Linked DNA regions of Cricetulus griseus. The protein of the gene in region 1 purifies or fractionates together with the protein of each later gene. This does not show direct contact. Links are inferred from orthologs where the notes say so. Each region holds a gene or a part of one and is shown on either strand. Other genes may lie near its edges. The genes, in order: Ubxn2b and Ppp1cc.

Evidence for each region.
Region 2: the proteins of Ubxn2b (region 1) and Ppp1cc purify together in Homo sapiens (affinity purification with mass spectrometry; 3 studies listed by BioGRID and IntAct, with this or other methods). This does not show direct contact. The link is inferred for Cricetulus griseus from reciprocal best matches to the Homo sapiens genes UBXN2B and PPP1CC.

The regions. Positions count from the first base shown.
Region 1 is NC_048595.1:154,297,339-154,301,153, reverse strand, and holds part of Ubxn2b (UBX domain-containing protein 2B), read left to right. Parts: intron 1-2,316; coding exon 2,317-2,467; intron 2,468-3,729; coding exon 3,730-3,813; intron 3,814-3,815. UniProt on the Homo sapiens protein: Adapter protein required for Golgi and endoplasmic reticulum biogenesis. Involved in Golgi and endoplasmic reticulum maintenance during interphase and in their reassembly at the end of mitosis.
Region 2 is NC_048597.1:102,007,820-102,011,734, forward strand, and holds the start of Ppp1cc (serine/threonine-protein phosphatase PP1-gamma catalytic subunit), read left to right. Parts: upstream 1-1,527; 5' UTR 1,528-1,749; coding exon 1,750-1,804; intron 1,805-3,915. UniProt on the Homo sapiens protein: Protein phosphatase that associates with over 200 regulatory proteins to form highly specific holoenzymes which dephosphorylate hundreds of biological targets.

The DNA.
Region 1 (3,815 bases):
TGTGCTTGCTGACGAGATGTATTCAGCAAGGAACTGAGTAGCCTTCATTCATGCAGAACTGCTCAGTGGGTACTTTGTTTTTTAAGGTCTTTACAAACTTTTAAACATCAGTAAGTTAGGGCCAGACATGGTGTCACATATCTATATTCCCAACATTGGGAAGGTAAATGCAGGACCATCAGAAGCTGAAGGTCAGTGTCACCTAGTTCAGTTCAAGGCCAGCCTCATATACATGAGACCATCTCACTCCTGCCCCAACCAACAAGTCAAACAAAGTAAGAAAGAGCTAGGCATGATGGTGTATGCTTATAATACCAGCACATGCATGACTAAGACAGGAAAACCCGTAAGTTTGATGTGTGCTTGAGTTGCATGGTGAGAGAATGGAAGAAAAGAAGCTTTTAAAGGGAGGTGAAGTCATACCTTCGAGTCATTTTTGAGGTTGCAATGGGAGTGGATAAATATTTTACTGATCAGATGAGTTTCACATAAGAGGAGAACAGAAGGCAAGGACACTGACATCTTGTTGTGGAAAAGGGAAGAAAGGAAACTTAGTAAAAACCAAGGCATGGTTGGAACCCCACTGCACAGAGGGACGAATAGTGTTGTTGCCTTTGGGAAAGTCATGAAAAGACAAAGTTCATTGTGAAGTGAGAAAACGGAAGTGGGAAATGTTACTGCAGCAGTTGTAGATGCTCTTGGCCTGTCTCCACAAAAAACAGCTAGAGAACTCATGAAGCACCCATCAAGAGCAGCACGTAAAGTAGTCATGTGAAACCTTATACCAAAGCTGCAGAGGCCTGAGAAACTGACCAGTGAACCAAGACCGGAACGCTGAGTCTCACACCCTTAGAGATGGCTGTTTTGGCTCTGACAACGATGCCACTGCAGAGCAACAGGGAGAGGGAATCTCATGGCATAGTCCAAGGGAAGATGTTAGTATTGGCCTCTCCATCATGCAACATACAATTATCAATTTTGGATAGATTGTAGCTCTGAATATAAAAGTTCAAACAGTGAGGCTGCTTGAAGAAATGCTGCATTACCTTAGGGGAGGCTATAACAGACTGGTAAACTTTTTCTTATGTCCAGTTTTCTCAGGTCTTTGTCCCAAAAACAAAGAGGCAGGATTGTGAACTTTGCCAGCTTGTTAACCTGACTCAAAGAGGGAAGAGGCTATACTGGGGGCAAACATGGCAGGAAGCTTTGCTCTGCTATCCTCTTTGTCACAGTTACCTGAGGCCATGTGTTAGCCAGTTCCTCCTCTCCAACACTGCACTTAGACAGGCAGGGCATTTCTTTCCTGTTTGCTGCACACTCACACACACACACACACACACACACACACACCTCTCTCTCTCTCTCTCTCTCTCTCTCTCTCTCTCTCTCTCTCTCTCTCTCTCTCTCTCTCTCTCTCTCTCTCTCTCCCAGTATGCAGTGTAAACATGGCAAGAAGCCTTTGTGGGTTGTAGTGTGTCCAGTGACACTGACAGGGTGGTGCCCCTCCCACAGTGTAGTGGGATTCTGCTGAGGTCCACACTTGTGTCCATGGAGATTCTCTTTCACCTGCAGATGAGAACTGCCCGCTTAGGAGAAAACCTGGAAGGGAACCTCTGTTCCTTGTCCAGGGCTGTTGTGTTTCCAATTTTGCTTTGTGAGTTACTGTGAATCGGGAAATGGAGTAAAAGGTGTGGGAAAATAAAAAGTACACTCTTGTCACCATATATTGGAAGTCTCTGTATGCTACTTCATTGATTAAATTTTCTGATATCCTGGGCAGGAAAATCAGTCATGAACAATTAGAATATTAGTCTTAGGTGAATGGAAACTTATGTTTTGTAGCCATTATGAAGATAGAGTCAGGGCAGATCTTAATTACTACACAAGGAGTACATGAAGTTATTCACAGTGGGAATTGTTATGCAGTAGGTCTTTCTACCCGAAGAATAAACCTTCATTGTGTAGCCATATGGGGCAGGAATAGCCTCTGGTTGTTGAGAGTGCTACCCACCACAGGTGAAGAGCTTGGTCTGTGAAAATAGGAAGCCATAAGCAGTCATCCAGGGCTGAGGGCGGAAACAAGGCCTTCATTTGCCCATGTTGGGTGCTGAAGTTGTCAGACTCTCCACAAACTCAGAAGGGATACAAACTATCCCCTATTTTATCTTTGCCTGAATTCCATTTTAAAGTTAAGTGTGTATAAAGAACTCAGGCATTCTTTATTTATGAATAAAAGTTACTTCATATGATGATGTAGCTTCTTAGAGTAGTTTATGACTTTTCTGAGTTTTTATTTATGAGCTGTGATGTTTAAAGGCTTTGTTCAGGTGAACAGGAATATGGTGGATTACATATAGTTCAACCTCCAACTGGGAAAATTGTGAATGAACTTTTCAAAGAGGCAAGGGAACATGGGGCCGTCCCTCTAAACGAAGCCACAAGATCTTCAAGTGATGACAAACCTAAGGTCAGTGCTGTCTTAAAACTGTACTGTTTCTGGGAAGTTGAGAGGTACTTGGACATGTGTCTTGGTAAAGCCTTTGCAATCTTTTTGGCACCCATTGTTGAGAATGACTGTTCTCCACGAAACTTCAGTTTCAGTATTTGGCAGCAGCTAGAAAACTTCCGTCCATGTAGCCTTGAGGTCATTTTAACATTTCCATGTTCCCCAATTCTGTAAGAAAAGTGTGGAACTGATTTAGTCTGTGGAACAAAGGCAGGTTGTAATTTAAAGTGCATTTGTGATGCAAATGGTAATGAAATGAATAGCTATTTCCCCTCATATTGTCCTACCTGAAGACTGTGTATTCAGTAGAGCAAGATCAAAAGTGTGACTGACTATAGCTGACTTGATATAGTTAATATCATTGTGCTGAGAGCTGACTTACTGTACCTTAGAAAACAGCTTGAAATGGAGGCCATCACAGGAAGCCACAGTTTGACATAGTGCAGAGATCAACAGGTCATGGGGAAGCCCAGCCTCAACAGATACGTCTGCATCACAGCTCCTGCATCTATGGCTCAGGGAATATCTCGGAAGAGGGGGCGGAAGAGCTGTAAGAGCCAGAACACCAGGAAGTCAGCTGTGTAACAGTCTCCTGGAAATGGCTGCATAAACAAGACTGGAAGTTTCAATGGACATGTTAACATGGAAGGGGGGAAATTATATGTGGTCACTGAACCCCTAAGAACTACAGCACCAAAAAAACATTCATTATGAGATATGTATTTACATACATGTGTGTATATAACAATAATGAAAAAGAGGCTGCCAACTTGAGAGTGGGTGTGTGGGAGGGGCTGGATAGGGAAAGTGATATAATTTCTATTTCAATTAAAAACATTAAAAAAATCTAAAGCCTATAAAATACATATAGAATTCTTTGTTTTAACATTTATTTCATATGTGTATTCATGTACACATATATCCACAACCCACATGTGGCAGTTAGAGGACAACTTGCATGAGTTTGTTCTCTTCTTCTACCATGTGGCTTTTGGGATCAAACTAAGTTATTTCACATTCTGAGTTACTAATGTTTATGTGAAAAGACATTTAACTTCTCACATACACTTGTTTATAACTTAAGGTCTTTATTCCAATCTATTTTCCTAGTCAGTATGAATCTGGCCAATAATTATTTGTCTAGTTTTGAAATGTCAAGTGTATGAATAACATTTTGACCATAAGCCATAGTGAACTCTTAACCCATTTATCATGTATTTCAGTCATTTACAGGTGGAGGATACAGATTGGGCAGTTCTTTCTGTAAGCGGTCAGAGTATATCTATGGAGAAAATCAGCTGCAAGATGT
Region 2 (3,915 bases), on another chromosome or scaffold:
AGCCAAACAAGATATTCACAGCAGGGCTTGGCATAGGCCCCAGACGTCAAGATGTCTACTGAGCCAGGTGCCTTGGAGTGACAAATGACACTTGTGGGACTGGTAGGCAAAAACATAGCTTGGGAGAGTAAGTTGGTGACTGAGTAAAATGGTGCAGGCAGTTGAGGGGAGCTGGGATGACTCCAGAAGCTCCACCGTTGGCGCCAGCAGCAGAAAGGAGGCCAGAGATCTGCAAGGGTGCACCCCATGCCATGCTGCTGTGGCCTGGTGAAAATGAATCTCCAGATGGGGAAGCCACCTTGCTAGGAACACACGGAAGGGAATCCGTGCATCCCTTTTGCTTTGAGAATCATGAGCTTTTGGAGTGGGGGGTGGGGAAGAGGATTTTTGTAAACTGTGAAGGGCTGCTTGGAGAGAGAAATGGGTCAGGTGGGTGTGCATTTTCAGATCCAGTTAGCCTGAGAGGCAGCACAGTTGGGGGCTCCCTGGAGAAGGGTGCCCTCGGGGAGGCGATGAAACCAGAGGCAAGCAGCAGTAGAATGTGCTGAAGCCCGGGGCGCACAGCAGCCTCTAACTCGCTTTCCTCCGCAAATTCCCATCTTATCTGCTGCCGTGCGCTCATTCAATCCAGCTCAGGCTAAATCCAGGGGAGAACATCACGGTTATTATATAACTTTCTGAGTTCAAGAAAGATAATCTAAAGATAGGTGACACCTTACAAAAGTCTCCCAACCTCTCCCTAAAATGTAAAACTGCAGAAGTGCACGCAAGAGGTACACAGTTACTGAATTATGCACTACTCACAATGGACTAACGTTTCTTTTATCTGGGGGAGGCTTTCTTTTTTTCAAATACTGGATCTTAGATACTTTATTGCAGTATTACGAAATCTTGGCAGTGCTGGGGATTGAACCCAGGGTCTCACACATACTAGACAAGCGTTCATACCACAGAGTCATACATACAGCTCTTCTTGCTCACCAATATGAGCCGGCATATTTGAATCCTCGACCCTCCAACTTCCTTCTCCTAAAGATCCTCCATGGACATCTCCAACCCAGATTGGTTCCGAGGGGTGGGTGACTGACTCCCTGGTGAGCTCCCACCCCGCCGAGTCTGCAGACATCTGCCCCAAATCAGCAGCACCGGGAGGAGATCTTAACTCTAGCAACGAGCAGCCGCCGGACAATACCCGTCTTTAACTCGCGCGCGCGCCAACTTTGCAACTTCACTCTCCCGCGGGGGGTGGGGTGGGGGTGGGGGTGGGGGCGGGGGGGTGGAGGGTGGGGGTGGGGGTCTATTCCCCGCCCCACCCTCCACTCCCGTCCCCCACCCCCACCCCCCGCCCGTTTGGCGGAAGGATCCCGCGCGCGGATGGGTGTCTCACCGTCTCTGCCAGGCCCCGCCCCTGAAGCGCGAAGGCCGCCCCCTCCCGCAGCGGCCCCGCCCTCCCGCGCCCTATGGGCCTGAAGTCCCGGCCGCCGCTGCACTCCCCGCGCGCGCATCCGTGCGCCGCCCGAGGCTGGCCTGACGAGTCGGCGGCCATTTTGTTCTTCTCGTGGTTCCAGTGGCGAGAGGAGGAGGAAGCCGGGAGCGGGGCGGCTGGGGGGGGGACCCGCCGCGGCTGCTGCTGCCACCGCCGCCGCCACCACCGCTCGTGGGGCTCGTGGCGTGAGGAAGGAGGACGTGTGAGGCCCGGGCGCGAGCCGGCGGCGGCGCCGCTGCGGGAGGGTCGGCGGCAGGACGGCGATGGCGGATATCGATAAACTCAACATCGACAGCATCATCCAACGGCTGCTGGAAGGTGAGCGGCGCGCGGGCGGGCGGGCGGGCGGGGCCGGTGGGACCAGGCCCGGTGGGGACCGGTCCTCGGAAGCCGCTTGGATCTGGGGCGCGCACACAGCGCCTCCGGGTCTAGGGACAGACCCCTTGTTTTTATTACTGCCTCTCCTGCCCTTGCTCTCACATTGTGATAAATCTGGAGTCCAAGGACCCAGTGTGACTTGGCGGGGCGACGTCCCGGGGCGACGAGAGCCCCGTCCCTTGCATCCCCCCCCCCCAAAAAAAAGCCATCCTCCCTCCGGCGCTCTTTCCCCTTGAACGTGCATCCGCACACGGGCCGAGCCGCGACCGGGGTGACAGTGTCTGTGGCTCTCTGCTCATCAGATTGTTGTCCCGAGGAGAGGGGCGCGCTGCTGCATTCAGCGAGCGCCCTGCCAGGTAGGTGCTGTTATCTTGGAAGAAACTTAAAAGACCTCGCCTGACCAAGGGCGAGTCCCGCTTCAAACCCCTGGTAGCCAAGGTCTAGACACGACCTGCCTGCCCTCTTCCACTGTTCACCCTGTGGGAGCGCAGGGCATGCGTGCCTAGTGGCTAAGGGAAGGTTAAAAATCTTTTCTTTTGTCCGACTTATGACGGGGTGGGTGGGGGGCGCTGCAGTGGGTTCCTAGTTGGTGAGAGATTAATATGACATAGGGACTCCCCACAATTCCCGACCTAATGCTGATTGGGTTCTTGACAATGTTATTAACTAGCTGGCTTTTGCTGCTTTTGCCTAAAATACTGTTGGCGTGTAAGAAACATGCCGTGAGTGGTGGTGGTGAACAGCTGCAGAGTCATTGAAAGAAAAGTAAAAAGTGTCTTTTTAATCTGTGCATTTTCTCCCCTAATACTTTATTTTATTGCTTTGTTTAGATCGGGTCTTTTTTGTTTTTGGCTTTGTTGAGACAGGGTCTCTGCAGTCCTGGCTGTCCTGGAGCTCGATGTGTGTAGATCAGGCTAGCCTCAAACTCTCAGATCCCTCTGCCTCCCCTTCCTGAGTGCTGGGGATTAAAGGCTTTTATCATCATTTCCCCTAGATAAAGTCCCACAGAGCCAGAACTGGCCTTGAACTCCTGATCCTTGTGCCTCCTCCCAAGTACTAGAAGTTATAAGCCACCAAGCCTGGGTTATGAAGTCCTGAGGATTGAACCCAAGGCTTCTTCCTACACGCTGAGTAAGCATTCCATCACCTGGGCTGCATCCCCAGCTCAGATTTCGTTGTGTTTTTTTTTTTTTTTTTTTTTTATGTTTAACACTATGCTGAAAAAGTTTTAGCAGTAAACTTGGCTCATCTTTTGTTTTTAAATTTATTTTTCACATGGGATGTGTGTGAGTGCACCCAGGCCACAGCACCCGGGATTAGAGGACAATTGGGTGTGTGTAGTTTGTTCTTATCTTTGTGTAGGCTTGCTTCATCAGCTTTCCTTTCTCCCCCTTTAAAAATTTTTGTTTTTAGATTTTATGTTTTAAGCTTTGTCTTCATATGTATGTGTTTACCACATGCATGCCTATAACCAAGGAGGTTAGAAAGGGGCATTGGGTCCTCTGGGGCTGGAGTTAGATGGTTGTGAGCCACTATCTGTGCTGGGAGCGTAGCCAGGGTTATCCCCAAGAGCAGCAAGTGCTCTTGGCTGCTGAACCATCACCTCAGCCCCCCCTTCTTTTTTCTTTTTTTTTTATGGGGGGAACAGGTTTGAAGACAGCTTTTTTCTACATAGATCAGGCTGGCCTTGAACTCAGCTCTGGGATTAAAGGTGTGTGCCACCATTGATGGGCCCCTATAGTTTCTTGAATGTTACTTTTTAAATTTTGAGACTGAGTGTCACTACCAAGCAAAGGCTAACCTGAGATTTACAGAGATCTGCCTGCCTCTGCCTCCTATAAGTGTTGGAATTGGAGACTTTACCACCATGTCCAGGCTGGTTTTTTATTTTCTTTTGAACTTAATAGAGTAGGATACTATATTTAAATGCTTTGAGAATAAGCTAGTTGCACAGTATATGTTTCTTCTTATTTCTGTATGTGAACTTAACAAAACCACAGCCTTCTGTTGAGGATGTGTGTGCTTCTCCATTAGAGAATGTGGTGTTGTGC